Linked DNA regions of Pelodiscus sinensis. The protein of the gene in region 2 purifies or fractionates together with the protein of the main gene of each other region. This does not show direct contact. Links are inferred from orthologs where the notes say so. Each region holds a gene or a part of one and is shown on either strand. Other genes may lie near its edges. The genes, in order: FAM120A, EZH2, SMARCA1 and ARID1A.

Region 1 (7,671 bases), on a different chromosome or scaffold from region 2:
CTAAGTGTGTTTCTAAGAAGAGGGAACTGCAGGCAGCAAGGGACATTTTATAAGTCAGATAAATGAATGGAACAATGGCCCCCAAAAGAACATGGAGGCAGAGTATCTAGTATAGAACACTACACACAGTTTTAAAGCAAAAAAAAAAAAAAAAAAAAAAAAAAAAACCCCTACTCAACTTTACATAAAAATAAGATTGTCTGCCAATCAGCATTTGGAGGATGATACCTGGATATTCACTGTGACCCTACATAACACTATCATCAGCCCTGCTCACCCCTCAAATGTGGCTCTCTCTGGTTTCTACTCTGAGGGGACATGAAGGGAAGCGGGAAAAGAGGAGTGGAGAAGAGAAATACAAATGAAAGCGTATAAACTACAACAGAAAGGAGAAATAAGGATAGAAAAATCTGACAATAAACGGTGAATAAATAAAGATGAGAAGGATAAATAAAATGCACTGAAAGAAGTGGAGAACATGTAAAAGGAAAACCTGAGAAAGCAACATAGCTAGTCCTGTTTTTGAAACCATTAAGGTTTTTATACCCCTTTTTGAAGGCATGCTGAAATTGTCATTTTCCTGCCTGTAAGCCCATTTGGCCAGTTCAACTGGGGAGGGGCTCTACCATTATTTTGCTTCCACAGGCTGACAGGTATGTATAAATAGAAAATCCCAGCGGAGACTGAGGACACCAAGGTACGCACTACACCCTCCCCTCTGCCTGCTTAGGGCACCCTGCAAGTCCCAGGAGGCAGCAACACTTCGTTTTGCTCCAGCCTCGGGGTCCGCGGGAAGGCAGCGGCAGCAGCATAAACTTTGGCCTCCTCCACTTGTGCAGCTGCCGCTGGCCAGCAGTAAGGCCGCTCCCATGGAGCTCGCCGAACCTCCTCTCCCAGCCCGAGCAGCCGACACCGCCAGGTTTTGACGACATTTTGCGGATATGGGAATTCATACTTCCCCCCTCCCCTCTCTGAAGTCGGTACGGACATTACCGGGAGGGCAATCCTGCTGCCATTTTAGAGCCCTACCCTGCCCAGCGCCACCGCCGCCTCTCCAGGCCGCAGCGCTCGGAATTGGCCAGCGGGACTGGAAAAAGCGGCAGGAGGGGGCACTGGTGCCATGGTGGAAAAGGGGGGTTCCAGAAGCGCAGCAAGCGGGGGCGCTGGCGCCCTGGTGGAGATGGGGGCCCCAGGAGCGCAGCAACAGGAGCTGGCCCCCCTGGAAATGGGGCCCCAGGAGCGCAGCAACAGGAGCTGACCCCCCTGGAAATGGGGCCCCAGGAGCGCAGCAACAGGAGCTGACCCCCCTGGAAATGGGGCCCCAGGAGCGCAGCAACAGGAGCTGGCGCCTCCCTGGAAATGGGGCCCCAGGAGCGCAGCAACAGGAGCTGGCGCCCTGGTGGAGATGGGGGCCCAGGAGCGCAGCAACAGGAGCGGGCGCCTCCCTGGAAATGGGGCCCCAGGAGCGCAGCAACAGGAGCTGGCGCCCTGGTGGAGATGGGGGCCCAGGAGCGCAGCAACAGGAGCGGGCGCCTCCCTGGAAATGGGGACCCAGGAGCGCAGCAACAGGAGCTGCCCCCCCTGGAAATGGGGGCCCAGGAGCGCAGCAACAGGAGCTGGCGCCCTGGTGGAGATGGGGCCCCAGGAGCGCAGCAACAGGAGCGGGCGCCTCCCTGGAAATGGGGGCCCAGGAGCGCAGCAACAGGAGCGGGCGCCTCCCTGGAAATGGGCGCCGCTGCCAGGGTCAAAATGGGGGGGTGAGAAACGCGAGGATAGGAAGAGCTGACTTGTGGCGATGGGGGCCGAGGGGCGCGGCGAGCGGGGGCGCTGGGGGCCGAGGGGCGCGGCGAGCGGGGGCGCTGGGGGCCGAGGGGCGCGGCGAGCGGGGGCGCTGGGGGCCGGGGGGCGCGCGGGCGGGGGCGCTGGTGGCGATGGGGGTCGAGGGGCGCGGGGGCGCTGGGGGCCGGGGGGCGCGCGGGCGTGGGCGCTGGGGGCCGGGGGGCGCGCGGGCGGGGGCGCTGGGGGCCGGGGGGCGCGCGGGCGGGGGCGCTGGTGGCGATGGGGGCCGAGGGGCGCGGGGGCGCTGGGGGCCGAGGAGCGCGGCAGGCGGAGGCCGCAGGCGGGAAGGCCCTGGGCCCGCGGCTCACCTTGATGTGAAAGCGGATGAGGGCCAGGCGGATGCAGTGCGCCATGCAGACGGGCGGCAGGAACCAGACCTTGGGCGGCGGGGTCCCCTTGTTCTGAACGTGGCTGACGATCTGCTGCGCCGTCTGGCGCTCGTTGCCCTGGCGCTTCACCCACTCGTGCAGCCGGGCCTTCTCCAGGGCGCCGTTGAAGAGCACGAAGAGCTCGATGTTGCCGTTGAAGCAGGCCTTGGCCAGCGCCGCCAGGTACCCCAGCATGTGGTTCCACTGGCCGCCGCTCACCCAGTCCGTGTAGAAGCCGCCGTAGAGCCGGTGCAAGCAGTTGTCGGCGTCGATGAGGAGGCGCAGCGGGGTCTGGGGGGGCCGCTGGCGGCCCCCGCCCACGAGGCTGCCCCGGGCCAGCTTCTGCAGCTCCACGGGCACCACGGCGCTGGGGCAGTGCTTCTCGATGTAGTCCTGGAACCCCTGCACCCCCATGGCGGGCCGGGCGAGGGCTGTGGCTGGAGGCGGGGGGGCGGCGGGGGCGCTGCTGCGGAGGCGGCCGTTCAGGGGGGAGTCGTGTGGGTCGGTTGGGGGCTCATGGCAGCTGCGGCCGCCATGTGCTGCTCTCACAGAGCCATGGCTCGGCTCCGGGCTGCTCCGCTGCGGCTCCTACTGCCGGGGGGGGGCACCGCGCGCAGGAAGCCGCCCGCCGCCGGGAGAGCGGAACAGGCGGGACTTGGCGGCGGCCCCCGCTGCCACTCACGGGCCGGCGCGCCGCGCACACGCTGGCTCAGGGCAGCACCGGGGGGCCGGGCCGCGCGCGCGCCTCCGCCACCGACTCGGCACCCGGCTGCGGCACTCGGGCGGCGGGCCTGGGCGCCGGGGCTGTTGCATAACCCAGGCATGCGCGCTGCGCTGCGGGGCGGGGGCGAATCGGGACACGTGGGGGGGGGGGCGCGGGAATGGCGGGCGCGCGGCAGGGAGGTCAGGCCGCGCGGCTTCAGCGCCGGAGGAGCCAGAGCTGCGCGCCCGGCACGTGTGCACGCGCCCAGAACAGCGCCGCGCCGGCCCCGTCACGCTGCACACGGGCCGCGCGGGAAGCGCAGCGAGCTGCACGCGGAGCAGCCAATGGCAGCGGCGAGCTCGGCCCGAGCTGCGTGGGCTCCCACTGAGCGTCTCCGCGCGCTGCGGGGCCCCGAGCTCGGATTTCAGGCCCGGGGTATGGCGAGAGCACGACTTGCTCTTCACCTGGCCACTGCAAATTGGCCTTTCACTGCATAGAAACCTAGCTTGGCTTTGTGCCAGACCCGGAATAGAGAGTACAGCTATCTACACACTCCCTGTAGCAGTGGTTTTCATTTGTAAATCCCTGCATCCCCCTTTGGAAATGTTAAACCTAGTGTGCAAACTCCCAGAGGTCTGTGGCCCACAGTTTGGAAAGCACAGACCTCAAGCATTAAGAGTGGGGGATGTGGCATCTGATAAAATAACAGGCACGTTATTCTATATTTTAGAAGTGCTATTTTTTCACCTTTATTTAAAGTAAAATAAAAACTGCTCAGTTTTTTTTGAACTTGAGAGCTCAAATGGAAGGAAAACAAATCTTCAAAATACTTTGAGAAGATGGACCATCCTTCCCTCTTGCTTGGATTTCGCTGGCTTAGGAGGTTTCCGCCTACAAAACACAAATTTGTTGAGATGCTATCAAGCCATACTGTTTCACACTGTTCCCTCACACTTATGTGATGTCCAAACCCAACAATATAAAACTGGCACAAATTTGAATGATTTAAAGTTTCCTCTCTCCAGACAAATATAATAATAGTTATTTAAAAAGAAACTCAATATTGAGAAATGAACCTCACCTCACCTACAGCTAAAGATTTAACACTTCCAGAAAATCTTCCAAAATGTGGAAGCTTGTTCAGGAGCATATGTTAAAATTAACTCTTCATGTAGGCCACAAATTTGTCAAGCACAACTGGCTACTGAGCAGGACATGAATTTAAAGACATGGCAACATGCAGTCAGTGGCATATGAACTGCCAGAATAAGATCTGTTATCCTCTTCTAAAATGCCTTAAGTATTATGGTGGATGACTTGTTCACTCTGGTTTCAGCTAGTGAAATTTTGTAAAGAATCCCACATTTGGCCTTAGCTATTTCCTGGCAGAACATATATATTATCTTTGAAATATCAACATAGTGTCTCAGTATTCCTCAATGCTTGGCAACTCTCAAATATTCAGATGCCTTATATGAAGTTTGGCATTTTACTGGTAAAGATACGTTTCATTTTTAATAAGATTTCAGTTGTTTGGCTAGATTAGTATCTAAAATAAATACTCTTGGGGTTGAGCAAAGCTTATTTAACACTGCGTGGAGGACCTTTGTATCTAAGAGTGACCAGTGGAGCTTATGAAGATGGTAGAATAAAGTATACAGAAAACTTTGTGAAAGTCCTCAATAAAAATGTTTCCTGGAAAAAAGTGGGTTTTTTTAAATCAGTGTGGAAAATATGCAGCACCTTTTCAGATAACTCTCCAAAGGTGTTCATGAGCATTTAGTAAGAGCTTTTTCTTAATTTAGCTTTCATCCTAAGGCTTAAATGGATTCTCCTTCCAAAGTACAATCACTAATTTTGTTATAACATTAAGGATGCTTCAGCAGAAACACCTTTAAATAGTTACTGTAATACAAATTATTATTATAAATAAACATTGCAATTAATTGGGGATTTGACAGAGGAGAGAGAGGATTTCAGGGTTTGTTTTTTATTTTTTGTGGGATTGTTTTTTTAAGTATCTAAAGATTCAGCAGAGCTTGAATGATTAATGCCAGGGATGCAGAGCATTAAAAAAAACAGATGGTCAGAGAGCCTGCAAAGGGGAGCACAGAGTTTGATCTAGATCACATTCTAATGGAAAGATTACAAATCAATCCAATCTCAGGCCAGAAACCAATTAAAGCCTGGTGAAGAAGTGGGTGTGTTCCATCAATATTCTGAACAATTTAAGGATTCAACGCAACCAATTTGCAAAAGGGGGAGGAAGGAAGTCACTGGGACAGATCTTTAGCTGGTGTAAATTGCATAGTTCCATTGACTTCAATGTATTTCCTGGCTGAGGATCTGCCACGCTGTATCCTGCTCAATCCTGCCACAGTTTAGAACTATTCCATATGTGGCTTAACTCCAGCAGAGTAAGATTTCTATATCTTCTTTGTATAGAACAGTACTGAGAGGTCAAAACAGCCAAAAGACACACTGGATGCTATCAGCTGTAATTCTTTCTTAATATGTAACTAAGGATGATTGACTCAAAATAGCCTATTGTAGTACTAATGGCTGTACCACTGAAACCCTGCTGAACATTACATAACTATCTCAATGCCAATGTCATAGACCATGGAGGGGGGCAATCATAATAATCTAGTCTGATGACCTATACATTGCAGGCCATGGAACCTCACACATCCACTCCTGTGATAGGCCAATAACATGTGACTGAGATACTGTAAGTCCTCAAATCTTGTTTTAAAGATTTCACATTACAGAGAATACACCATTTACAATACACTCAAATCACCAAATGACCCACACTGCAGAAGAAGGAGAAGAAGCAAAGTCAATCTGACTAGGAGAAAATTCCTTCCTGTCCCGATATATGATCAATTAGACACTGAGATCCATCATCCATACTTGGGAAATAATTCCCTGTAGTAACTCAGAGACTTCCCCATCTAGAGCCCCATCTCCTGGCAATGAAGATATTTGCTAAGAGCAGATGCAGATGGGCCATATGCCATTGTAGGCAAGCTCATCATACCATCCCCTCCAAAAACTTACCAACCTCTGTCTTGAAATATAAGGGGTTTTTTTGCTCTTGGTACTCTCCTTGGAAGGCTGTTCCAGAACTTCATTCCTCTGATGGTGTAAAACCTTCATCTGATTTCTAGCCTAAATATGTTGAGGGCCATTTTATAGCCATTTGGTTTTGCCCCAACATACCATTTTAAAAAATAAATACACAAAAACCATGAACCAAAATGAATTCACTGTGTATTCTAAAAAAAAAGAGAAACTGTTTAAAAGCAGCTCTCCCAGAATGAAGTTAGGAAGTTGAGTAGGAGTAAGAATAATGTGAAACTGAGAACTGAAAAGGAGGGGATTTCAGGAGATCTGGGTGCTGATTTGGAAATGGTGGTCTTTAAATGTGCAATATAGCCTATGTAGAGCAAGCTGCTATTTGCACATTGCTGGAGATTCAAGCTATTTCTCTCACAAGGTCCACCAATGGTTTCAGGTGGATTTTGAATGAGAGAACAGGACTGAGCCTGATGTGAGGGCATTATTCAGGCCAAACAGATATTTGTGCAGAAATTGGAAATCTGGGTCAAGTGAAGCCAATAGAACAGCAGCATAAATTATGGTGGGCACAATTAAGATGGCAATTAGGAAGACTGAAATTTATATGAGAGCAAATAGCCAAAAATACAAAAACAAATACAATATTTCAGAAACAGCCTATGAGATAATCAGCGGGGGCATGTTTACATTAGGAAATTATTTTGAAATAACAAAATTAGATATAATTCCCCAAATAACTATTTTGAAATAAGCTTATTTCTCAAGGAAAGCATGAATTATTATTTCAAAATAACCAGCCCCTTATTTCAAATAATGGGATTGGTAGTGTGGACTTTCGGCTTGTTATTTTGAAATAACTCCCTAGAGTAGACCAGGGCTGGGAAACCTGGAGTGCAAGAGAGTTAAGGCAGCAATTAAGGAGAAGTCATTGAAGCTAAATGATTTCTTTGCCCCTGTCTTCACCACCAAGGATAAAGTGGGGCCACGTTCCCTGGCCTACAATTTAAGCAATTAGGTTGAGGCAGAAAGAGGAATGGCCATACAAGATCAGATCAGTGGGTCAAGATGCTTCAAAGGAAGATGCAAGAAATCTCATTATAGACAGTTATTTCATAACTGGTTTGTACAGACTGGCAATGTTACCCCATTAACAGGATGGGTCTGGCTGGGTAAAGGTTAAAAGTGACTCATTAACGTCAGTGACTCATTATTCAAGCTGAATATCAAGAGGATTGGGAGTGGTTTTCTGGAAGGAATGAATTGAACTGTGGTGAGGGAGGTCTCTATGAGCAGCCAATTCAGGGCTGAAGGTTTGATATAAATGTTATCATTGATTTCTTTGTTAAAGACACTCTTGAAGAAGAGGGTGAATGTGTAGTTTGTGCAGAGTGTCTGTAGTATGGGTGAGGAAGGGGGCATAGCTCACATGCTTTATCTGGCTACCTTTAACTTTTCTTCCCCATTTCTCTCCTGAGTGCGGGGATTAGGCCTGCTGCTCTTTGTACTTTCTTCAGGCCTCTGTAACTGTCTCTTTAAATTGCCCCAAACATTTTGTCCCTTCTCAAGGAAAATCTGCCAAGCCTTCCTGTCTACATCAGTACCCCATCAAATGGGATAAGAGTTCTGTGAATAGATTCTTTTGTTTCCCATTTTTCATTATTCTGTTATATCATTTCT
Region 2 (7,067 bases):
TGTGTTGAGTAGCCCTGCTGTAGTCCTAGGCCAGAGTAAAGATCAATTCTGGCTTGCACATTTTACCTGAGATAAGAAAACAACTGTTAGGGAAAGAGTCTGCATGTAACAAGTTTCTTAGTGGATTGAGGAAGGCTTCTATGTGGACCCTTACTAATGGTCACAACGATAATCTTGATTTCTACACTGACTGCTTTCGCAAACGTGCTTGAGCTGACATTGTCAGCAAACAACATATAACCACAGCCATGCAGAAAGCAATGCTATACACAACCTCAAAAATAATTCTAACATCATAATCAAAGAGGCTGACAAAGGGGGCCCTGTAGTCATCATGAACTGAACAGGAGGTGACCAGACAACTCATCAGCACCAAATTCTACAAGCCTCTCTCCTGTGTCTCACTAAAGAATTCCAAAAAAACCTGAAACAGCTGCTCATGAGACTCCCTTATGACCAAATTTATACTAACAACCCCCCCAATCCCTGACCAAGAGTCTTCTATCTGCTACCCAAGATACACAAGCCTGGAAATCCCAGACGACCCATCATCTTAAGCATTGGTACACTTACAACAGACCCTGTGCTACCAGCACTTCCTAGCTATCTTTGAGACACCACTGACTTCCTGAGGAAACTACAAAACATCAGTCATCTACCTGAAAATACCATCCTGGCCACCATGGACATAGAAGCTCTTTACACCAACATTCCACATGAAGATGGATTATAGGCTATATTCCCTGATTGCAACATTGCACACCTGGTTACAGAGCTCTGCAATTTTGTCCTCACCCACAACTACTTCCAGTTTGGAGACAATTTGTATCTTCAAGTCAGAGGTACAAACATGGGCACCCGATGGCACCACAATATGCCAATGTCTTTATGGCTGACCTTGAACATTTCCTTTGCTCTTGCCCCCCCAAGACCCTTACTCTACTTATGCTACATTGATAACATCTTCATCATATGGACCCATGGGAAAGAAACCCTTGAAGAATTTCACAGAGATTTCAACAGCTTCCATCCCACTATCAACCTTAGCCTGGATCAGTCCACACAAGAAATGCAGTTCCTTGACACAACAGTACTATTAAATGATGGACAAATTTCCACCACCCTATATCGGAAACCTACTGACCGCTACACTTACCTTCATGCCTCTACTCATCCATGTATTGTATACAGCCAAGCCCTCCGATACAACCGTATACAGCCAAGCCCTCCAATCCCACAGACAGAGACAAACACCTAGAGGATCTATATACAGCATTCTTAAAACTGACATACCCAACTGGTGAAGTGAAAAAAACAGATCAACAGAGCCAAAAAAGTACCCAGACATGAACTACTTCAAGACAGGCCCAGAAGAGAAAACAACAGCATTCCACTTATCACCTACAGTCCTCAACTTAAACCCTTCCAACACAGCATCAACAGTCTACAGCCTATCCTAGAAAATGACACCTCACTCTCAGAGGATGTTTGGATGCAGGAGTGCTCGGGGCTGGGGCAGGAGCTTGGGGTGTAGGAGATTCATGACTGGGATAGGGTTTCGGGATGTGGGCTCCAGCTGAGCACTGCTTACCTCAGGTGGCTCCTGGTTCATGGTGCAGTGGGGCTAAAGCAGGCTCACCCTTGCCCTGGCCTACTCCCTAAAGCAGCCAACAAACTGCATTCCAAGTCCTGTTGTGCCCCCTCTCTGCTTTGTGGAGAAAGGATACAGATTGGCAGGGGGTAGCTTGACATCTGCACCCCTTCTCTGCACAGAAAGCAGGAGGCTCCCCAGGGGGAGAGGCAGCTCTAAGGCAAAGGGCAGGAGATGAGCAGCAGTGAGGGGAGGAGCAGCTGAAGTGCCAGCACTTGATAGCCTCTTGGCCAAACCAGTCAGGGTCACATGTCAGAGGCTCCAAGATCTACAGGTAGATCCCGATCTCCAAGTTGGTGACCACTGAGATAAACAAACAATGGAACACAAGAAAACAATGAGACAGTGCTGGTTAATATGACTGGCTGTGATATCAGCATACCAACTACCTAATTCTATTTATTATATCTTAAAGGAGGGTGTTAAAAAAGGATTTCTAGTTTCACAGATTGCAAGGCCGCAGGTGTCCAGGCCATAGAACTTTCCCAAAATAATTCCTGGAGCATACTTACCATCTTTTAGAGAAACATTCAATCTTGGTTTTAAAATTGCCAGTGATACAGAATCTACCAAGAGCCTTGGTAAATTGTTCTAATGGTTAATTACCTTCACTGTTAAAAATTTCTAGTATGAATTTGTCTAGCTTTAACGTCCAGCCCTTGGATCATGTTATACCATTCTCTACTCATTTGAATAGCCCATTATCAAATATTTGTTGTTCCCTGTGTAGCTATTTATAGATTGTAACCAAGTCACCCCTTACTCTTCTCTTTGTTAAACTACACAGATAGATTCAAGGATAGCAATCATTTTAAGTCATGTTTTCTGATCCGTTAATCATTCTCATCTCTCCTCTGAACCTTGTCCAGTTTATTAATGTCCTTCTTTAAAGGAAAATGACGAGGTACCTGAACATTCTAGGGTTTGTTTGTTTTTTGCAAATAATGGGGGAGCCCAAACTTATAACTCAATGAGGTGGGGGGCTCAGCTCAAAAAGTTTAAAAAACTACTCATTGTTGGCAGATGGGCAGCTGACGAGCAAGTATCTGATCAGCAGTAAGACCAACTAGTACTGATGGGAGGGGAGAAACTGAAAATATGGGACAATTTGCCAATTTTAAAGAAAAAGTAGGAACACCTTCAAGGGGGCTTTTAGAGGACTGTCTCTTTGAAAATGGGACATCTGTTCATCTTAGTTATGAAAGGCCTACAAAATGAAATCAAGAAGCTTAAGTTTGTTGCAATGACAAAAGAGGAGCTGTAGCCAATGAGAGCTCTGGATGGTAATATCTGGGGGTGCAAGGTTAACCAGCCTTTTTGGCAGCCTGCTAGTGGCTTACCCCATAGGCCACACATATGCCCACCACTGGATTATAGTAGAGGGACACAAAAAAAGGCAGGGCTGGCAGTGGCAAAGTGCCTATTTAGGAAAATAATCTTCACTCAGTAATGGGGCAAGATTGTATTTGTCAAAGCCAGAGACAAGATGTTGCAGTAATTGAGACAGAAGTTGATGGGAACCTAGACTTTTTTAAAATTATCATAGAGTTTATGATAATCATGGACCAGACCCTTCTCCAAAGAGCATGTCAGGATGGATTGAAACTAAAGGTCTTATCTTGCAGATATGATGCAGAAAAAAAAAATCAGCTAGATTTAAATAATTTGGTCATCAATAAACTGGTGATCAATAATCTGGTCATCAGCCTTAACCTGCCCTCTCTAGATTCTCACAGCCTAGATGTGAGACTATAGAGATGGCAAATTAAATCAGACGGCCAGATTAAAAATCTGGTAGGGACAATAGCAACTTGACTATGGGTCGGCAATAGCATGAAGGAGATAGACCTAAAAGACACGATTGACCGGTGAGACAGAGCACATCTTGCTGGTGCTCTGATTTCCGTGGTTGTACGAGAGGAGTGGGTGGGCTGTGTTAGGGCTGCGGTTCCACACGCCTAGCCCGCAGCAGAGGAAAGGGATGTGGACGGACCCTGAAGCCAGAGAGGGGGCAGTTCTCTGTATGGCGGAGGCGAAGCACAGAGCACGCATGGTGGGGAGGGAGAAGGGCCCCTCCACGCCGGGCACGTTTCTGATCCGCCTGGCAATTTCCGTGCCCCGGGAGTCAGGGCAGCGATGCAGTTACTGACGCAAGCTGCGTGGGGAAGGTGGCAGGTCCCGGGCGGCGCTACAACCGGTTTAGCAGAGCCGGTTTGGGAACTCGTTCGGCGAAGCTAAGGCTGGGGGCGGGGCTGGGAACGAGGCAGGGCGGAGCGGGTCAAGGTCCGGACCGCTTGCCAGCCCGCCCGCCCGCGGGAAGCAACAGGCAAAGGGGAGGGATATTGAGTGGAGCCGGCTGAACCTTAGTCTCCGCCCAGAGCTGCCCGCGCGCGCTGGAGCCGCATGACAGTTAAAACCGTTACCGCTCCCACTTTCGAACTGATTCAAACTCAGCAGCGCCCAACAGCCTGGCCCCTCCCTTCCCGGGCTCCGCGGGCGCTTCCTCTTCCACCAACCCCCAAAGACTTCGCCGCCCGCAGCCGACGGGGACTTCAAGGCTCCCCCCATTGCCCGCGCGCGCCGCTACGGGCGCCCCAGGGGGGGGGGGGGCTGAGGGGCGCGCGAGGGGAGCACGGAACTCGCCAGGTCCCCAGCCAGCGCGAGAACAAAGAGCGCCCTTCCACCCCCTTCTTCTTTCCTCCCCCCCACACGTGGGGCGCGAACGCTCCGCCCCCGGCACCGCCTCTGGCCGAGGCGGATTGGCTCAGGCGGCCCCTCCACGTCCGTCCAATCGGGGCGGTGCTTGGTTCTCTCCAATGAGCGTGATGCCGATTGGGCCGCCGGGTTTGGCGCTCGGTCCGGGAGGGTGAATCCGGCGGCAGAGCGAAGCGGGGACCCGGAGGCGGCGGCGGCAGCGGCAGCAGCACCGGCGGGCGTTGGGGAGCGGGGGTGAGCGAGCGAGCGCGCGGGAACGGCTATTTCTAACCTGCGCCCTTTGTCCGGGGGGAGGTGGCGGGGGGATTATTGGGGGATTGAATGGGGGGGGGCAGCCGCGAGGAAACTCCCCCCCCCCAGCGGGAGAGGGCGGTGGGGCGCGCGGGGGAGCGGGCGGTGGCGGGGCGCGCGCTGCCGGCCGGTGACAGCTGGAGAGAGACACGGAGCGTGAAGCGCCCTTTGTCTAAGTTGGCTCTGCCCACCCCGGCGGAGGGGATCCCCTCCCCTGGACCGACCCGACTGAGACAAAGACGGGACTAGAGCCGAGGGCTTGGGACCCCTAACGAGGGCGGGCGCGAGGAGGAGCGCAGCTTGTCTCTTCCTTAAACCCAGTCCCCTCACTCCCCATTGATTGACTTCAGACTAGTGGCGGGTGCAGGAGCAGTTTGACTGTGGGGAACCCCCTCCCCCCCTCCCTCCCTTCCCCCGGTTACAAGGCAAACGAGGTTTTAAAACGCCTGATTGAAACGCGCAGCAAAACCCTTCGTTCCCCGAGAAGGAGGCGGGAAAAATTGAAATTACGCTCCCCACGCGGGGCGGGGGGCTCCTTGCTGCGGGGAGACGTTTAGGCACTTGGGCAGGTCTGCTTCAGTCTCATGTGTTCTTACATAGTCTCCCGGAAGCTGATGTTCCGTGCGGGGGCTGTTGAGCTGTCTCTGGGTTGTTCCTCCTTTTGCTGTTTCATACGAGTTGCTGTTTTGAGTCTCCCCTTACATTCCCCTTCTCTATGTATACGCAAATCTTGGGTGTAGCAGCAAAGGTGTTAAATGCAAAGGCAGTGGGGGCGTGTTACTGACAAACGTACCTGAAAGCAACTCGAGTGAACTTCCGAATTTCTAAAGTTCAGTACTGGGTCCCTGTCTTCCACAGCATTGCCTGGCTTTTCCCAAGTTCAGATAGGCTGAAGACTGTGATTCTAGAACAAAGTGTATTGAACATGAGCACACTTCAAAAAATATGTTTTTTATTGAGTCATTTTTGGTAGGTGTAAGGGGGTGGTGTTGGAGGAAGCTGCCTATTTATTCACACTGTAAGAGTCAACGAGTGGCTGGTAAATATGATGCAGTAAGACTGATGTGTAATCTGGTATTATTGTAGTGTTCAATGTTTAATAGTTGCCTGCAGGTGATTCAGAAGTTATTGGGAGTGAGAAGAAGAAAAGAAGCTTGTAGGTGTGTTTATGTAAATTAATTTGGATTTTGTTCAAGTAGCTTCTTTTCTAGTTCTGAAATACTATCCACATTGTTCTGGAGTGGAAACCATACAGCATTAGAAAGTTGGGAGTTCAGATTTCTTTTCTTTTCCCTCTCAGAAATGAAGACCTTGAAAGACTTCATTTTTAGATTTGTGTTTGCAAAATTCACCTTTTGTGCTATTCCACTGAATGGAGTTGTATAGGTTTACACCAGGATACAAATGTAAAGGGATCAGAAGTATGTATTGGGGATTCTATTGAATTTCTAACCTGGGATTTCGTTATCTAGTTTTAGAGAGTAATGCTCTAGAGTCTGAATGCAATTTGTAAGAGTTAATTAAAAGGCCACTCTTTCTGTTTATTCTAAGTGTCCATATCAAATTGGGAGCCCCTGGAATGTTTATTTGTGGTAACCAGAAAGCATGTTGTGAAGGGTGAGTACTTGTAAGCACTGTACTGTAAGTACTTTCAATTTGGTCTCTTAAAATGTGAATATTCAAGACCTGTTGATACCTCATGAGCAATCCTGCAATATAGCACTCTTATTTGGTTTTGTTTTCTTTATTATTTTAGTGTGGAATCTTGCATGTGAATAGGATATTAGAGAATATGTTAACTTTTTAATTCTATGTACTTTTTATTCACTCACCTAAAGAGACAATCCTCTGTTGCTTAGCTGTTTTGAAGATGTTTGAGACATTAAATAAAGGGTTATCTTTAAACGATGAGACAAATTCTTAGGAGACACCTCTTGTTTTCATGAAAATGTACCTAGTTATTGAAAGGCAGTGGTGGAAGTGTCTACATAAACATTTTTTTAAAGCTTCCCATGAGGTGTCAACAATTATTTTGTCTTAAAACTATGCCATATTCAATAGTCACTAGTTTAGGTTGACCGCAATCTGCAGGATTTGGGTTTGTCACAGGGATATTAAAAGATAACTGCTTCAAAAAGTGACTTTGTGGAACTCTTTGTCACTGACAGGCAAATCAAATGAGCTGTTATTTTTATATATATCTTTAACTTAGTCCTGTAAATTGAAGCTGGGAATTTGAAGGTTAAGTTGTTTTCTTTTCTGCTTCTCATTGGAACTACTGAAGACTTCAAGTGGAATTTAGTTAGCAATGTTGACAATAGAAAATAGTTCTCTTCAATAAGAAACAGAGGACTGAAATATAGTAATCATTACATATAATCAGCATATATATGGGATTTAAAGGCCCTTA
Region 3 (6,876 bases), on a different chromosome or scaffold from region 2:
GTGCTCTTGCGCCTGGGGTGTCTCAGCTCCCAGAAGCCCTTAGAAAAGAATAACCAGTGCCAGTAACCAATAAGCATTAGCTTATGGGTTAACCAATTAAACTCATTCATTCCTAGTCAATAGAGCAGTGGTTCTCAACCTGCCACATAAGTCATCCTCAGGGCCATTCAGATAGCATATTTATTGTGTGGATGTAGCCCAGATAACAAAGAACTGCATATGCAGCCCACAATGATAAATAGGTAGAGTACCACTACCTTAGAGAATATATTCAAAGTCTGTGTAGTTAAGTATTCCGTATCATGGAGGAGTCTCCAAATATGTCACAACTTTAACAGTGCAACTTGCGTAACCCCAGGGATCTAATTAACAAAGATGCTAGCTTTAGGCTATGGGAAAGCATTCTAGGCTAGTGGGAAAGTGCAACAGTACATTCTAAACTAAGCCAAATGCCTAACCAAGTCATGGGGAGGTATAAGAAATACTGCTGCTTTTGTTGTTTTTTTATTTTGCCTTTCCTATGCTGAATGTTTGCAGGTACATATGTAAAAACTATCCACCTAGTTGCCATGTGGTAGAGTTTATATATAAGAAAAAAAAATCTATTCCAGGTGACTATTGAAAATTAGATGAAGTTAATAAAAGCATTGAAATTGCTATTTACAACAACGCATTAACGTGACACAAAGTATAACCAGCATAATGACAAAGTATACTAACCCAGTCTGTCATTACCTAAGACTTCCAGACACTAACATGTTGCTTATGCATCTGAATTGCAATCCAGCTCTGGGGGCACTTTGCTGAAGTCAAATCTATAGGAGGTGTAGCTTTGCATTTCTCAGCTATTCATGATTCCAAATGAACTAGTGCTATACAGCAGCAACAAGCTTTGTTTTGTTAGAAACATGTGACCTTCTTACACATAATCAAGACTAATACAATATTTAATCTCTCAGTAGCATATATCAACTTCTACTATTCCATCTAAACATTGTGTCAGGGATTTTTTTGCCAGTTGACAGATGGAAAACTTCATAGCACAAATTGTACCCTGTAGTGTAGGTAATCCTTGCTCACACTTCTAACACCTTTAGGCTACGTCTACACTGGCCCCTTTTCCGGAAGGGGCATGTAAATTTCACTAGTCGTCGTAGTGAATAAGACCCTCCGGAAAAGGGCACTTTTTCCGGAGGATCGGGGCCAGTCTAGACGCTCTTTTCCGGCTTTTTTAAAAGCCGGAAAAAAGCGGCGGACATTTTTATTTAAATGCCGCGGGGGATATTTAAATCCCCCGCGGATTTCCCTACGACGACTAGTGAAATTTACATGCCCCTTCCGGAAAAGGGGCCAGTGTAGACGTAGCCTTATTGTTCCTTAGTTTTAATGTTCCAGATACATACTACACAGTTCACAGCCAACTAATTACTACTACGACATGTTTTTTTACTTCTCTCTACTAGGGTTGTAAGCAACTAATCAACTAGTCCTGTCCCCCACTTTGCTGCCTCTATCAGAGAGAGGCAGCACAGGGAGAAGCAAGACCTGGTGCTGGGAGAGAGCCAGCTTAAAAGCCAGTTCCCCCCAGCACTGTCTCTGTGGGGGGCAGGGGAGGTAGAGGCACAGCGGGATACAGCGCAAGTGGGGACTGAAGCAGTCTCTGCTCACACCAGTTCTGCTGTGATTCTGCTTTTGAAATGTACAAGAGCCCCGCGCTCCCTGTGGGGCTTCCACTTTTGAACTGTAGCAGAGTCCGACTATGTAGATGTGCACTCAGAGTCCTGGCTTGCTATCTCTGCAGAAAACTGAAGGGAAGAGGTAAGAGTCACACATGCTCTTTGGAGCTGCTTGATGTGGATTATGAAAGCAATTTAAACTGCATGTGCAGAAGAAAGTAGCTTTGAGTGAAAGGAATAACAGAAGAACCTGAGAGCCAAGAACCAGCCAACAGCCACTGGCAAGCCACTCCCTACTCCTTTGAGTCAGCTACATTGAACGGTCGGTCAATGGGGGGACGGACTGAAGTATCATACCCTTCCCACTCATCTTCAAAAGTGTATCCCAATAGCTCAAACTTCCCCACATTCCTTCCTCCATCTCATCCAGAAAGTAACTGTTTACAAAGGCTTCACTAAATGGCTCTGCATATAGGTAACCTGTTCCCAGCTAGGTAAGGTGAGCAAAGTCCTTTTTCCAGGCTATAAAATGAGACTGGTGGTACCCATGGGGAGGGCTGACAGACAGGGAGAGGCTGTAGAGATGCACACTGCACAGGGGGATATAGAGGGGCTGGCACACTGTGTGGAGGGGTAACAGATGGGTTGGGTGCAAGGGCAGGGACGTGATTGGCAGGGTAAGCAAACAGGGTGGAGATATGAATGGACAGTAGGGAGTGGAGCAGGGATGGGACTGAAGGCACAAAGGGGGCAGAGGCTGGGTCACAGGGCTGACGGTATGGAGGCTGGATAGGGCTGCTGGGCCTGCTGGCAATATGGGGAGGAGTGGGGGAGTGTAAATGGATGGGCTGAGGGCACCGCAAGACAGGACAGGCTGGGCCAGCGCGGTCAGGTGGTAGCTGGGCCAGGGGCACGGGGAGTGCGGATGGGGCCGAGGGACGCAGAGCGGGGCACAGCCAGGATGGCGGTACAGGTGGGCGCAGACTAACCCACGTCTCCGCACAGATCTAGGTCTGAGAGTTGGGAGGGTGACGGAGGGGCCTGGGGACTGTAGCCGCAGGGGGGGGGGGGGCAGGGACCTGCGGCCGGCCGGGTCCTGGGACGGGGCTGGCAGAGGAGCCGGGCGCCCCCATCCCCAGACTCTGGCGCGCGCCCGCCCCCCAGGCGGTACCTCCTCGTCGCTGGGCTCCCGCGAGGAGGCAGCGGAGGTGGAGGGCTCCTCGCCGTCGGAGCGGGCGGGGCTGGGGTCCATCTTGTGTCGACAACCGGCTCAGGGGCTGAAGACCCCCCGCCCCTCCACCGCCCCCCCGAACACCAGGCGGCCCCGCCCCCTTCTCCCGCTCACAGCCAAGATCGCGAGACTTCAGGGGCAGGCGCCGCCGAGAGCGGCGGACAGCCCGGGAACCCGGCCATCCGTGCGCGCGCATGCGCTGTAGAGTTGAGCGCGCGCGCGCGCAGGGACGCCTGCTCATCCCCGCTGGGTGAGCGGGAGCGTTGGCGCGAGGGACAAACCTAGCAAGAAGCCGAGGGGTGGGGGAAGGACCTGTTTGCCCCTCCCCCCTCCAGGTCACAAACCCAGCGGGACAGAACCGAGGCCAGGGCAAGAAGCTGAGGGCGGGAGGAGCCGTTGCTGAGAAGGGGGCGGGGCACAGAACTGTTTTCTCCCCCCGCCCGCCTCGTTACGTTGAGACGTTCACGCGGGAGCTGGGCTTTGGCGGGTGTCAGGTCCTGCCCTGTGCCCCGCAGTGTGGGTCACGCTGTGAGCCTCAGCGCGCCACGCTAGACAGGGGCTAGTGTTTCATTTCAGCCTCGCTGCATGCATCTTGCTTCAAAGAGACGTGAACACCCCATCACAGAGGGAAACTGCAGAACTTTCTTTCATGCTTAAATTGGGCACTTTACGAATGGGCCTTAACAAAGACTCCAATTACCTTAACCATTACAAAAAGAGCTTCCCCACTTATCACCCCTGGGTAGCCATTCATTGGCTCGTAAATAGCTATTCCTTCCCTCCCTCTCCCTCACCCCACCTCCTGTACTAAATCTGATTTGTCAGTTTAATAATGTTCACTTTTTTCATTGTGTTCCTTTGGTATATATGGTCATGACAATTCTCTTCCAGAATATGAGCTGAGGAAGTGGGTCTGGCCCATGAAAGCTCATCACCTATTAAACTATCTTATTAGTCTTTAAAGTGCTACCATAGCTGTGCCCAGGCACACCCTAGTGTCTCAAAAAAAGTAGCTTAGTGTTTTAATTTAATCCCATGATATGCTCTTTTAGTGTTAAAGTATAGATTGTTGTATTATGCAATAAGCTCCGAATGTAGAAATGTATAGAAAGCCCCTGTTCGCCCGCAGTATGTCCTTTATGACTGAGTATTCAGTTAATGTTCTCCTTTAAAAAAAATAAAAAATAAAATTCCCTGGTGCACACCCTAATGAAATGTGCTGCACACGCCTATGAGTGCTACATAGTTTTTCCTTTTGTTTTAGTGAGAACAAGGAGACTTCCGTGTGCACACAGAGGAGCCAGGAAGAAGACAAGAACACAAGATGGTTTGGGATTGTTGGGAAAGGACAGAAGCAACCTAGAGAGAGAAGGGCATGTAGCCTTTGGAGCATATTCCTGGGCCTACAGAATTTGAATTAGAACCATGGACTCCTTAGTCTCTATATTCATTTGCTATCAACATGTATCCATGAAGCCCACTGGCAAAGTGGTAAACTTATCACCTTCTAGTTCTTGATCCATATTCTTAGCCAATTACTGTCACCGCTTACTCAAGTAGTAGAGATTGTGTTGTGAGTTATGTTGATAACCTCAGCTGAGTATTGGTGCCACAGAATGGAATTTCTGTGTGTGTGTGTGTGTGTGTGTGTGTGTTTATTTATGTATTTATTTATTTATTTATTTATTTTTAGGACATAACATTAAAAAACTTAAACTAAAGTAATGCTCAGGTTGCATAGTTAAGCACTCAGACTTGTAGCCTGCAGATCTATATTATCCCTTTTATTATATTTTGTTAGTAATGCAAGACTTGCAGGAATTTTATCCTGTATGAAGTTGGCTTTAGCAGTAGTGTAGTGTGGTGTAGTAAGAATTGGTTAATATCTTTTTAGAAATTAAATTGAATATCCTTAATATCTCTTTAGAAATTGTAAAGGGCTTTTTGGCGAAATTTTCAGCTGGGTCAGAACACAGGGAACGGGTCCAAGAGGGACATAGAGTGATCATATTCATGTATACAGGCAGTCCCCAAGTTACGCGGATCCGACTTATGTCGGATCCGCACTTACGAACGGGGCTTTCTCGCCCCGGAGCTCGCAGGCAGCGGGACCGCCCAGAGCGCAGCAGTCCCGCCACCTCGACCTCCGGGGCGAGAAAAGCTGCTCCAGGTGCCCCTGGTCTGCTGGGGACCGTCTCCAGCAGACCAGGGACACCGGGAGCAAAGCCGGGGAGGCGGAGGGGTCCTGCGCCTCTGAGGCTTTGCTCTGGCAAAGGCTCAGAGGCGCGAGACTCCGCCGCCGCTGCGGCTTTGCTCCCGGTGTCCCTGGTCTGCTGGAGACAGTCCCCAGCAGACCAGAGGCACTGGGAGCAAAGCAGCAGCGGCGGCGGAGTCCCGCGCCGCCACTGCAGCTTTGCTCCCCGTGTCCCTGGTCTACTGGGGGGGGGGGGGGCGCAGCTAGTGGCCCCCCCAGCAGACCAGGGAGACGTGGAGCAAAGCCCCGGGCCTGTGGTAGAGCAGGTGGGGCGCTGCCGGTTGGTCCCGCAACACCGCTCCTTGGCGCTACTGGACCAACCCGGCAGCACCCCAGCTGCTCTGCCCCAGGCGTCCCCAAGTCAGCCGCTGCTGAAACTGACCAGTGGCTGACTACAGGAAGCTCCTGCCCCGGGCTTCCTGGAATCAGCCACTGATCAGTTTCAGCAGCAGCTGACTTGGGGATGCCTGGGGTTCTTAAGTTGAATCTGTATGTAAGTCAGAACTGGTGTCCAGATTCAGCCGCTGTTGAAACGGATCAGTTTCAGCAGCGGCTGAATCTGGACGCCAGTTCCGACTTACATACAGATTCAACTTAAGAACAAACCTACAGTCCCTATCTTGTACGTAACCCGGGGACTGCCTGTATTCAAAAGATGTCCCAATATCACCATCCAATCAAGTATGTGTACCCACAAAATCTCAGGATGCGGAAATCTGTTTATGGCCATAAGAGATTGGGTATTAATGATGGAAAGAGGCCCATAAAATGCTATGGCAGTAGTTGGGAGACAGGAAAAAGCTTCAAGTATTTTTCTCCTTCACATCAAAGCGCTTCACTTCACTTTACTTATTTTTTCTAAGTTTCTCTGCTTCTAAGTTTTCCATACTTTCCAAGTCCCAGCAGCAGAGGGAGGCTGGCCCTTCCAACGCGTTGGAGAGGGTATGTGAGTATGGCATTATACTAGGTAACTATTTCTGTATGCTTATAAGTATAATTATATAACCAAACTTTGTTAATGCTACCCTCGAGGGTGATTGAATTTATCTTTGCAATCAGTGCTGTGTACTTTGTATTGTTTGACATCTTAATACCAGTCACAATAAAAATTGTTTTAATTTGGTACTATCCTCATTGTAATCGTGGCTGCTGTTGTGGCCCCCCAGATCTACCTCCAGAAATAGAGCTTTATAGCCCTCAACCTTTGTGACTTGGGAAAGAAAGACAAACCTGGAACCTTCTAGTCAGATGGGCAAGCCATATCCATATAAATTATATCTTTCTTCACCCCTAGGCTACAGATCTTAGGACGTGATAGAATTAAAGTTGCCTGTGGACTTAAATTGCAGCGAGGGAAGTTTAAATAGGACATTAGGAAAAACTTCCTGCCAGGGTGGTTAAGCACTGGAATAAATTGCCTAGGGAGATTATGGAATCTCCATCATTGGAGATTTTTAAGAGCAGGTTAGACAAATGCCTGCGAGAGACGGTGTACATGGCACTTGATTCTGCCATGAGTACAGGGGACTGAACTTGATGATCTCTTGAGGTTCCCTCCAGTTCTGTGATTCCATTTTTGGCCACAGAATCACATAGGAATTCATGTTTAACTGATTATTCACTATAATCAACCCTTTCCCTCCAAGTCTTTTTAAGTGTCACTGCTTCTGACAATAGAAATTCCTATCCTATAAGTATAGCTTCCAGTCTTTGTT
Region 4 (7,177 bases), on a different chromosome or scaffold from region 2:
AATAAATGCATCCTTAGAGCCATCAAAGAAATCCTTTATACCAATGGGAAAGTCACATAACCAAAACAAACAGCAAGCCCATTGTACAGAGAACCCCTGCTACTCTTCCGACAACACAGAATCTATTCCAGGCTGTATAAAACATTACAAGCAAAATAAATCCAAGGTACAAACAAAATGCCATCGCCTCTTCTTTTGTTTCATGCACAATGCAACAAGGGCAGCCTGTCTGGAACTCTGCTCCTGCTGATACAGTATTGCTACTGAACTTCCTCAAGGTCACAGCCAATTTCAGCTGTGGAATAAAAAGGCAGATAGTGGCAGTGATGGTTTGGGTTATGGCTGGCAGAAAAGCAGAGTGTAAAAGTTTATGAGCTCATCAGGATTGTTGTACCATTACATCAGAGGCAATTATAAATGGCCAAGAGCAGGAGATGAGGAGCCAATCAGATCACAGATAGGATGTCAACCTAAGACCAACTGTCTCCTGGCTTTGACAGAAGGATTTTACCTCCATAATTCAAATCCCAAACCAAAGCAATCTGCACTTACTACTCCAATCGCTGAACTGTTTACCAGCACTTCCAGGGAGAGGCCCAGCCACTGGGCTAGCCAAGAGACTGCTCAGGAAAATGGCCACAGCTTGCCTGGGCAAGCTACAACTGCCCAAAGCAGGCCACTTCCCACCTTCCTACCCCCAGGAAGTGAAAAGGCCCCTCACTAGGAGCAAGAAGAGGAGAAGGAGGAAGAGTGTAATGGGGGCAAATGTGTAAGTGCTGCTCTGCAGAGTTCCCACTACCTCTGTTCCTCGCACCCCATCCCCAGCCCAGCCCCGAGGAGCTCAGCTACCCACCTTCCCCTCATGCACACAAGCACCACAGCGCCAAGCCCTTCCTCCACCCCAGGGCTCCCTCTATCTCCCCTCAAGAGCCCCCAAGGCAGGCAGGGGAAGTAGGAAGCTGAAGGCACCTCTCTAGAAGCCTCACACAAAGGCTGGAAGGGGAGGAAGAGTAGGCAGAGAGGCAGCCATTTTAGAGAGAGAGACAGAGACAGACAATGGCAGCTCCCCAGCAATGTGGGTCCAAGTAGGGGAGGGAACAGTAAGAAATTCGGCCATCTCGTGACCCCCTCCATATCCCCACGTGCCCTCATCCCTGCCCTTGAGGAGGCCCCTCTTCTACCCTTGCCCCCATTGTCCTCAGCCACCCCACGTGCGCCCATCCCCTACTCCTAACCCCATTCCCTATCCCCACCCGCATCCCTCCCGTGCCAAGCTCTCACCTGCTGGGTCCTAGCGAGCGGCTGTCCCCCTCCAGCGCTGCTGCTCCCGGGGCTCATGGGCGCGTGGTGGCTCCTTTGTTGCCCCCCTCCTGTGGCCGTAGCCCAGGCCTGGCTGTTGCCCCCGCCGTACTGGGAGGCCATATCCGCGGCCGGGCCTTTGGAGGCGGCTCCTCCGTCCTGGGGCCCGCTGCTGTAGTCGCCCCCGGGGTAGCCCTGGTAGCCACGGGCTGAGCTGGGGGAAGTGAGCAGCTGGTTGAGGGTGGGAGTCGCTGTGGGCTGCGGGGTGGCGCCCCCTCCTCCTGCTGCCCCGCCGGCGGCCGAGGGCCCCATGGCCCCGAAGCGCTGCTGCTGGAAGGCGGCGGCGGCGGGGGATTTGGCCCCGGCGGCCGCTTGCGCGGGGCTCTGCGCGCTGCCCCGGGGGGAGCTCAGGGCGTAGGCCTGAGGGGGAGGCGGGTAGGCGCCGGCGCTGCGCCCGGCTGCCGCCGGGTAGTAGGAGTTGTACTGGTGGTTGGGGAAGCCGTGCTCAGCACCGCCGTGCGAGTTCTGGGGAGGGGGCGGCCCCGAGGGGGCCCCCGCCGGTCCCGGGTAGGGCTGCTCCAGGCCCCCGCTCTGCAGCGCTGCCATGCCAGGGCTTTGTTGTCCGCCATGTTGGTGGAAGGCAGCCGCGGCGGCGGCAGCGGCGGCAACAACCTGGGCTCCCCGGCCGTAGGGCTGCCCGAAGCTGTAGGCTGGCGGGGGCAAGGCGGCCGGGTGCGAAGGGGGAGGCTGCTGCGGCGGCGGCTGCTGCTGCGGCGCCCCCACCCCGTCGCTGCTGCCGCCGCCGCCGCCACCGGGCGGCTCCGGGAGGTTATTGTTCAGGGTGGCGGCGGCAGCGGCGGGCCTGGGGCCCGGATTCCCGTTCGAGCTCTTCAGGTCTGGCTCGGCCCCGGCGTCCCCTCCGTTGCTCTCGGCCCCGTCCTGCAGCTCCTTTCCCGGGGGGCCCTCGCTCTCCGCCTGCTTCTCTCCGCCGCCGCCGCGCTCCGCCGCCGCCTCGCCCCCCGCCTCCTCCGGGGGACAATCCCGCTGATGCGCCTCCGCTTTCTTCAGCTCGGCGGGAGCCGGGGCGCCCAGGCTGCTGGTGGTGGCGGGGGCGACCTGCGCAGCCATGATCCCCCCCTCCCCACCCCCCGGACTCCTGCCCCCGAGCTGCTCCCCTGCCTGGCCGGCCGGCGGGAGGCCTCACTGCTCTGCTGCTCCCCGCTCAGGCGGCGGCGGGCTCTTCAGGGCAGCGGGGGTTCATTCCCCCCGGCCTGGCTGGCGAGGCGGGGAGGGCTCCGCTGGGCTGGGCTCCCCGGGGCCTGGCCCCGCTGTGCCTCCTCGGTTGCAGCCGGCGGAGAAAGGGGAGGAGGGAGCGGGGAGGGGGGGGAGGAGGCGGGGGGACCCGGGACGGGGCTCCCGGCGTGGGAGAGGAGGGAGGGAAGGGGACTCGGCGGGCGAGCGGACTCCGTCCCTGGAGCCGGGCTGTGCGGTAGGGTGGCCGGACTAGGCAAGCCGAGTAGCAGCTCCCGACTCTGGTCCGCCGAGTCCTGCTCACTCCGACACGAGGCTCAGCACTGCCATTTTACCCAGCTTCGCGGCGGCCTGCCAAACCTGGAGCGGAGCCCGGCTCGGACTGGAGCCTCCCCCCTTCACAAAGGAGGAGCAGGCAGGCCTCGGACGCTTGCAACTCAGCAAACCTGAGGCCGCTGCCGCACACAAAACCCGCAGTGGATCCCGCGGAGCTGAATCCAACCTTCCGCCACAAAAGGAAGCTCCCTTACTGCGAAACACGGAGCGGATTTCAGCCTGAGCGAAGCGGACTGCCACAGAGTCCTCCTCCAGAAAACACGCACCAAAGCGCTCCCCACGCAGCTCTACTGCCCGGCGCCCAAAAAGATGACTTCAACGACCAGAGGCTAGTGTTCATCTGGGCTAAAGGAGAACAAACAGAACTGCATTAACCAAAGGGCTGGGAACTAGGACTCCTGAGTTCTGGACTAACTGCAGAAGTCAGGAAAGCTGGGTTTTCTCCCAAAACTGGGATATTATGCTGGCCACAGGACCAGGCATGGATCTGAGTGCCTGGAGTACAAGGACATGCAGGCTGGGTTAGTCCAGGGGCCCATTCCATCCAGCATCCTGTCTGCTAATACTAGATGCTTTAGCGGAATTTACAAAAACTCTAAATGGAAAATTATGAAATAAGCTGCCCTGAGGGAAGTGTCTTCCTTAGCCTCTCAGGGTATGGGCCACAAAGGTTTGGAAAAGGATTCTAGCTACCAGTCAGTATCATGCACTGCAAGTTTCATAGAAGGATATGGAACAGAGCCTATTACTTAGGATGTCTAATGTGATCCAATTTTAAGTGACTCTACTTTTGGGGGAAATTTTTACACTGCATTGTTTGCTACAGGCCTGTGAAGTTCAACCAGAAGAAAGACCCTTGGGCTAGATAAAAGCCTTTTCTTCGTCCCAGGATTTTCCATTGATTTAACTGTTCTAAACTGTTAAAAATTTCCATTTCCTGTCTGTTGCTTGTGTTCCTTTGGAAAATGTTGGCAGTATGCCAAAATACTAACTGAACATAAACATGCTGAAGTCAGGGGCTTACACTATTGCCAAAGCTGCAGGCACTGCCCTGGGAGCTGGGAGGGGACAGGGAAAGATAGAGCAAGCCACGCCCCTTCCCTCCTCCCCCATTACATACCCTTCAGACCAATCATATGTCCTACCTCATTTTCATCATTTTCTATGAGAGCATCACCCAAAGCAGGACTCTCCCACCTCAGGCTCCTCTCATAACTACACCAGATCCATACGGGGCAGAGCAGCATATGTTCCCTATTCCAGAGGACCACATGGGGCAAATATCTTTCTCCTGATAGTGAGACAAGAAAGAGAGCCAAGTCAGGCCATCCCTGTGGATACAGCATATTGCTCCAGCAGGCCATCAGCAGAGTTAGTCTTGTAACTAAAGTGATGCAAGTAAGGCCCCGCCCCCCTTACAAAAACCCAGGAGTCTTGCAAAAATATATTAAAAGAAAGTTAATTATACTGCAAAGTCAAGCAGTTGGAAGTTAGGAAATGTCACAGTTGGATTTGCTCATTCAACCTGAATTCTGCCCCCTTGCAATATATACATTGATATATTCCAATTATACAGTATGTTCACAATATTTTTTTCCACAGGATTCTTATCTTATTCAGATAACAGTTTGGATAAACATGGAGCTGCATTAAGGTTGCATGGATTATTGTAAATCTGATACTTCCTATCTTTCAAGCGCTTGACTTTACAACCTAAAAAACTTTTTGATAAAAGTTTTGTGTCTGTAATACATATATAATTATGTAAGTTTCTTCTTGGTAATCAGATTTTTAAAGAGTGCACAAGTTATACAATTTTGTTTCACAATCCTATCCATCAGCACCCTTTGTCTTTATATGATCTACTTTATAACCTGCCCCCATTGATGATTAACTGGAGTAGAACAGGCTTTTGTATTGGAAACCCCATCTCTTTGAAGCACCATGTACACCTACAACAAATGCAGAAATAGGTAACAGATCACTCCCCAACGCTGTTTCTCCCATATGTGAAATGAGATTACTACTAAATCTGTCCAACATCTCTGTGAGAAAAATGTTCACAAAATACTTGCAAGATCCTTTAATGTAAGGATCTCAACAATGAAAAATATCATTGCTAACAAGTCTCGCATTACATTAGTACCTGCAACACTATTTTTCAGTTTGGATCTTGATTCCATGCATTGGGCTTGGAGAGGGCATAAAGCAGTGGTTCCCAACCTTTTGGGGCTGCCAGGAGTCCGGGGACAGGGCCGCGCTCGTGCCACGTGCCTAAGGGCGGGGCTGTGCAGGCGCCACATGCCCAGGGTTGGGGCTGCGCATGCACCGCGCATCTGGGGGAGGGCTGCGCACGTACCGCATGTCCAGCACTGTGCGCCCGGGGCAGGGGCCACGCATGCATCGTGTGCCCGGAGCCCGGGCCGTAAGAATGGCTTGGGCTGGCTTTGGTCACTCAGTGGGCGCACATAAATGCCCCGGCAGACGCCATGCAGGCACCATGTTGCGGACCACTGGCATAAAGTATAGCAGGTGTACTTCATTGTCCTAACAGTGTAGTTAGTTATGAAGGACAGAGACAGCACTGAATTTTTTACCTCTCCTGTAACTTTTCTTTCATTATGTGAATGTTGCAGCTGCTATTTTCTGATATAATCAAGTTCTATAACCCAATCACCATTCTCACAGTACATTAGGAAGAAGGGTTTGGTTTTGGTTTTTGTTTTTTGTAAAAGGGAAGTTTTACAAGAGATATAGAACTGCTACACAGAAACACTACCATAAGAAAACATACTTCTAGGGGGAAGGTAAAGATACAGTCTTTCAATTCCAGAACATCATTTCAAACCAAAGGGCAGTAGTTCCCAGTAAAGATGATCAGCTGTTACATTCTTAAAGCATATATGAAATGGATTGGTGGTCTCACCCATTTCTTAACTATAGTCCACGTCACAAAAAGCATTATCACAGCATCTTTGATGGCAGTCAAAGAGGCCAAGCATAGGACAGTAAGTAGGGCAGCACCAGAAACACTAAATGGTCACTGTTAATACTGTGTATGCTTTACAATAAACAGAAAATGTCAGTGTCTGATGCAATCAATTAACCAATACATTTCAATACAAAAATTAGAATATAACAGGTGTTAAAAAACAGAAGTGACTTCAGAGTAGTAAGCTGGGGTTGAAGTTAGCACAAGTCAATGATTAGCTAAATTCAGAATGTATTCCACAGTAACAAATGGCATTACAGGCTCCAAAACCAAGGCCATGTTGCCATTTTACAGCAGAATGTATAACAGAGTAGATTCCACCTTAGCCAATTGGCCTAAAGAAAGAGGGGATTCTTTTCTTCTCCTCCTCTACTATTTTACTTAGGGTTGCAATGGAATAATACATAATAATAGCTACAGTATTTTTAATAGTATTAGTATTTATTTTGTAATAGCCACCCAAAAGCTGCTCTTAGGATTGGTGCCACAAAAACATATAGGAAGACACAATTCTTACTAAAAAATGTATAGTCTAGTCTAAAACAAAAATTATATGATAGTATAAAGCCAGAAAATGGATTGGAATCTCCTTCACAAGATGCACTTTACCAACTGCCACGCAATTCTAAAACAATTTCAGAGGGCTTCATTTGGGTTGGATTCCAAAAATCACCAATATTTTCTTTTTACCCATTTGTAAGTCTATCACAAAACTTTTCCTCTAGCAGAGGAGGGTTGGGCATGGCATGTCTTTATATGCTTGCCCTATGAGAACATCACTATTAAAGTGTATGAAAAAAATAAAGGAAATGAACAGAAACCAAGCTAGATTCTCACACAAAGGTGGCCCTGTGGCTTTACCAAGTTCTATGGTGGGCTGTAAAATCCAAAGAAGATTAAAGAGCAACAAAACGACAGGATACCCTTTTCAAGGATACTTCCCCCACTTTAAATTTTAACAAATTTTAAACCGCTGCACATCAAGCACAAATAAACTGGAACAAGCACTACCATTTTATCCTGAGTAGAAACCAAATTAGAGTGTGCCTCATGAAATTAAACTTTGCCATCTCATTGGACCCCTTTAGAAGCTATCAAATACAGTCCAGGAGCCTACATTTCAGTGTAAAGCAGTGATACTCAGACTGAGGCTTGTGAGCAGCAAGCGGCTCTTTAATGTGCCAAAGGGATGATACTTGGTCCTGCTGTGAGGGCAGGGGACTGAACTCGATGACTTCTCAAGGTCCCTTCCAGTTCTATGAGATGGTATATCTCCATATATAATTATAATTATATTAT

What was found.
Region 1: the proteins of EZH2 (region 2) and FAM120A purify together in Homo sapiens (affinity purification with mass spectrometry, with the first as the bait; 3 studies listed by BioGRID). This does not show direct contact. The link is inferred for Pelodiscus sinensis from reciprocal best matches to the Homo sapiens genes EZH2 and FAM120A.
Region 3: the proteins of EZH2 (region 2) and SMARCA1 purify together in Homo sapiens (affinity purification with mass spectrometry, with the first as the bait; 3 studies listed by BioGRID). This does not show direct contact. The link is inferred for Pelodiscus sinensis from reciprocal best matches to the Homo sapiens genes EZH2 and SMARCA1.
Region 4: the proteins of EZH2 (region 2) and ARID1A purify together in Homo sapiens (affinity purification with mass spectrometry; 3 studies listed by BioGRID, with this or other methods). This does not show direct contact. The link is inferred for Pelodiscus sinensis from reciprocal best matches to the Homo sapiens genes EZH2 and ARID1A.

The regions. Positions count from the first base shown.
Region 1 is NC_134721.1:50,965,593-50,973,263, forward strand, and holds the start of FAM120A (constitutive coactivator of PPAR-gamma-like protein 1), read right to left. Parts: upstream 3,016-7,671; 5' UTR 2,622-3,015; coding exon 2,148-2,621; intron 1-2,147. UniProt on the Homo sapiens protein: Component of the oxidative stress-induced survival signaling. May regulate the activation of SRC family protein kinases. May act as a scaffolding protein enabling SRC family protein kinases to phosphorylate and activate PI3-kinase.
Region 2 is NC_134712.1:160,850,116-160,857,182, forward strand, and holds the start of EZH2 (histone-lysine N-methyltransferase EZH2), read left to right. Parts: upstream 1-4,063; 5' UTR 4,064-4,600; intron 4,601-6,208; 5' UTR 6,209-6,236; coding exon 6,237-6,274; intron 6,275-7,067. UniProt on the Homo sapiens protein: Polycomb group (PcG) protein. Catalytic subunit of the PRC2/EED-EZH2 complex, which methylates 'Lys-9' (H3K9me) and 'Lys-27' (H3K27me) of histone H3, leading to transcriptional repression of the affected target gene.
Region 3 is NC_134723.1:29,595,736-29,602,611, reverse strand, and holds the start of SMARCA1 (SWI/SNF-related matrix-associated actin-dependent regulator of chromatin subfamily A member 1), read right to left. Parts: upstream 3,008-6,876; 5' UTR 2,929-3,007; coding exon 2,848-2,928; intron 1-2,847.
Region 4 is NC_134735.1:2,199,097-2,206,273, reverse strand, and holds the start of ARID1A (AT-rich interactive domain-containing protein 1A), read right to left. Parts: upstream 3,023-7,177; 5' UTR 2,428-3,022; coding exon 1,282-2,427; intron 1-1,281. UniProt on the Homo sapiens protein: Involved in transcriptional activation and repression of select genes by chromatin remodeling (alteration of DNA-nucleosome topology).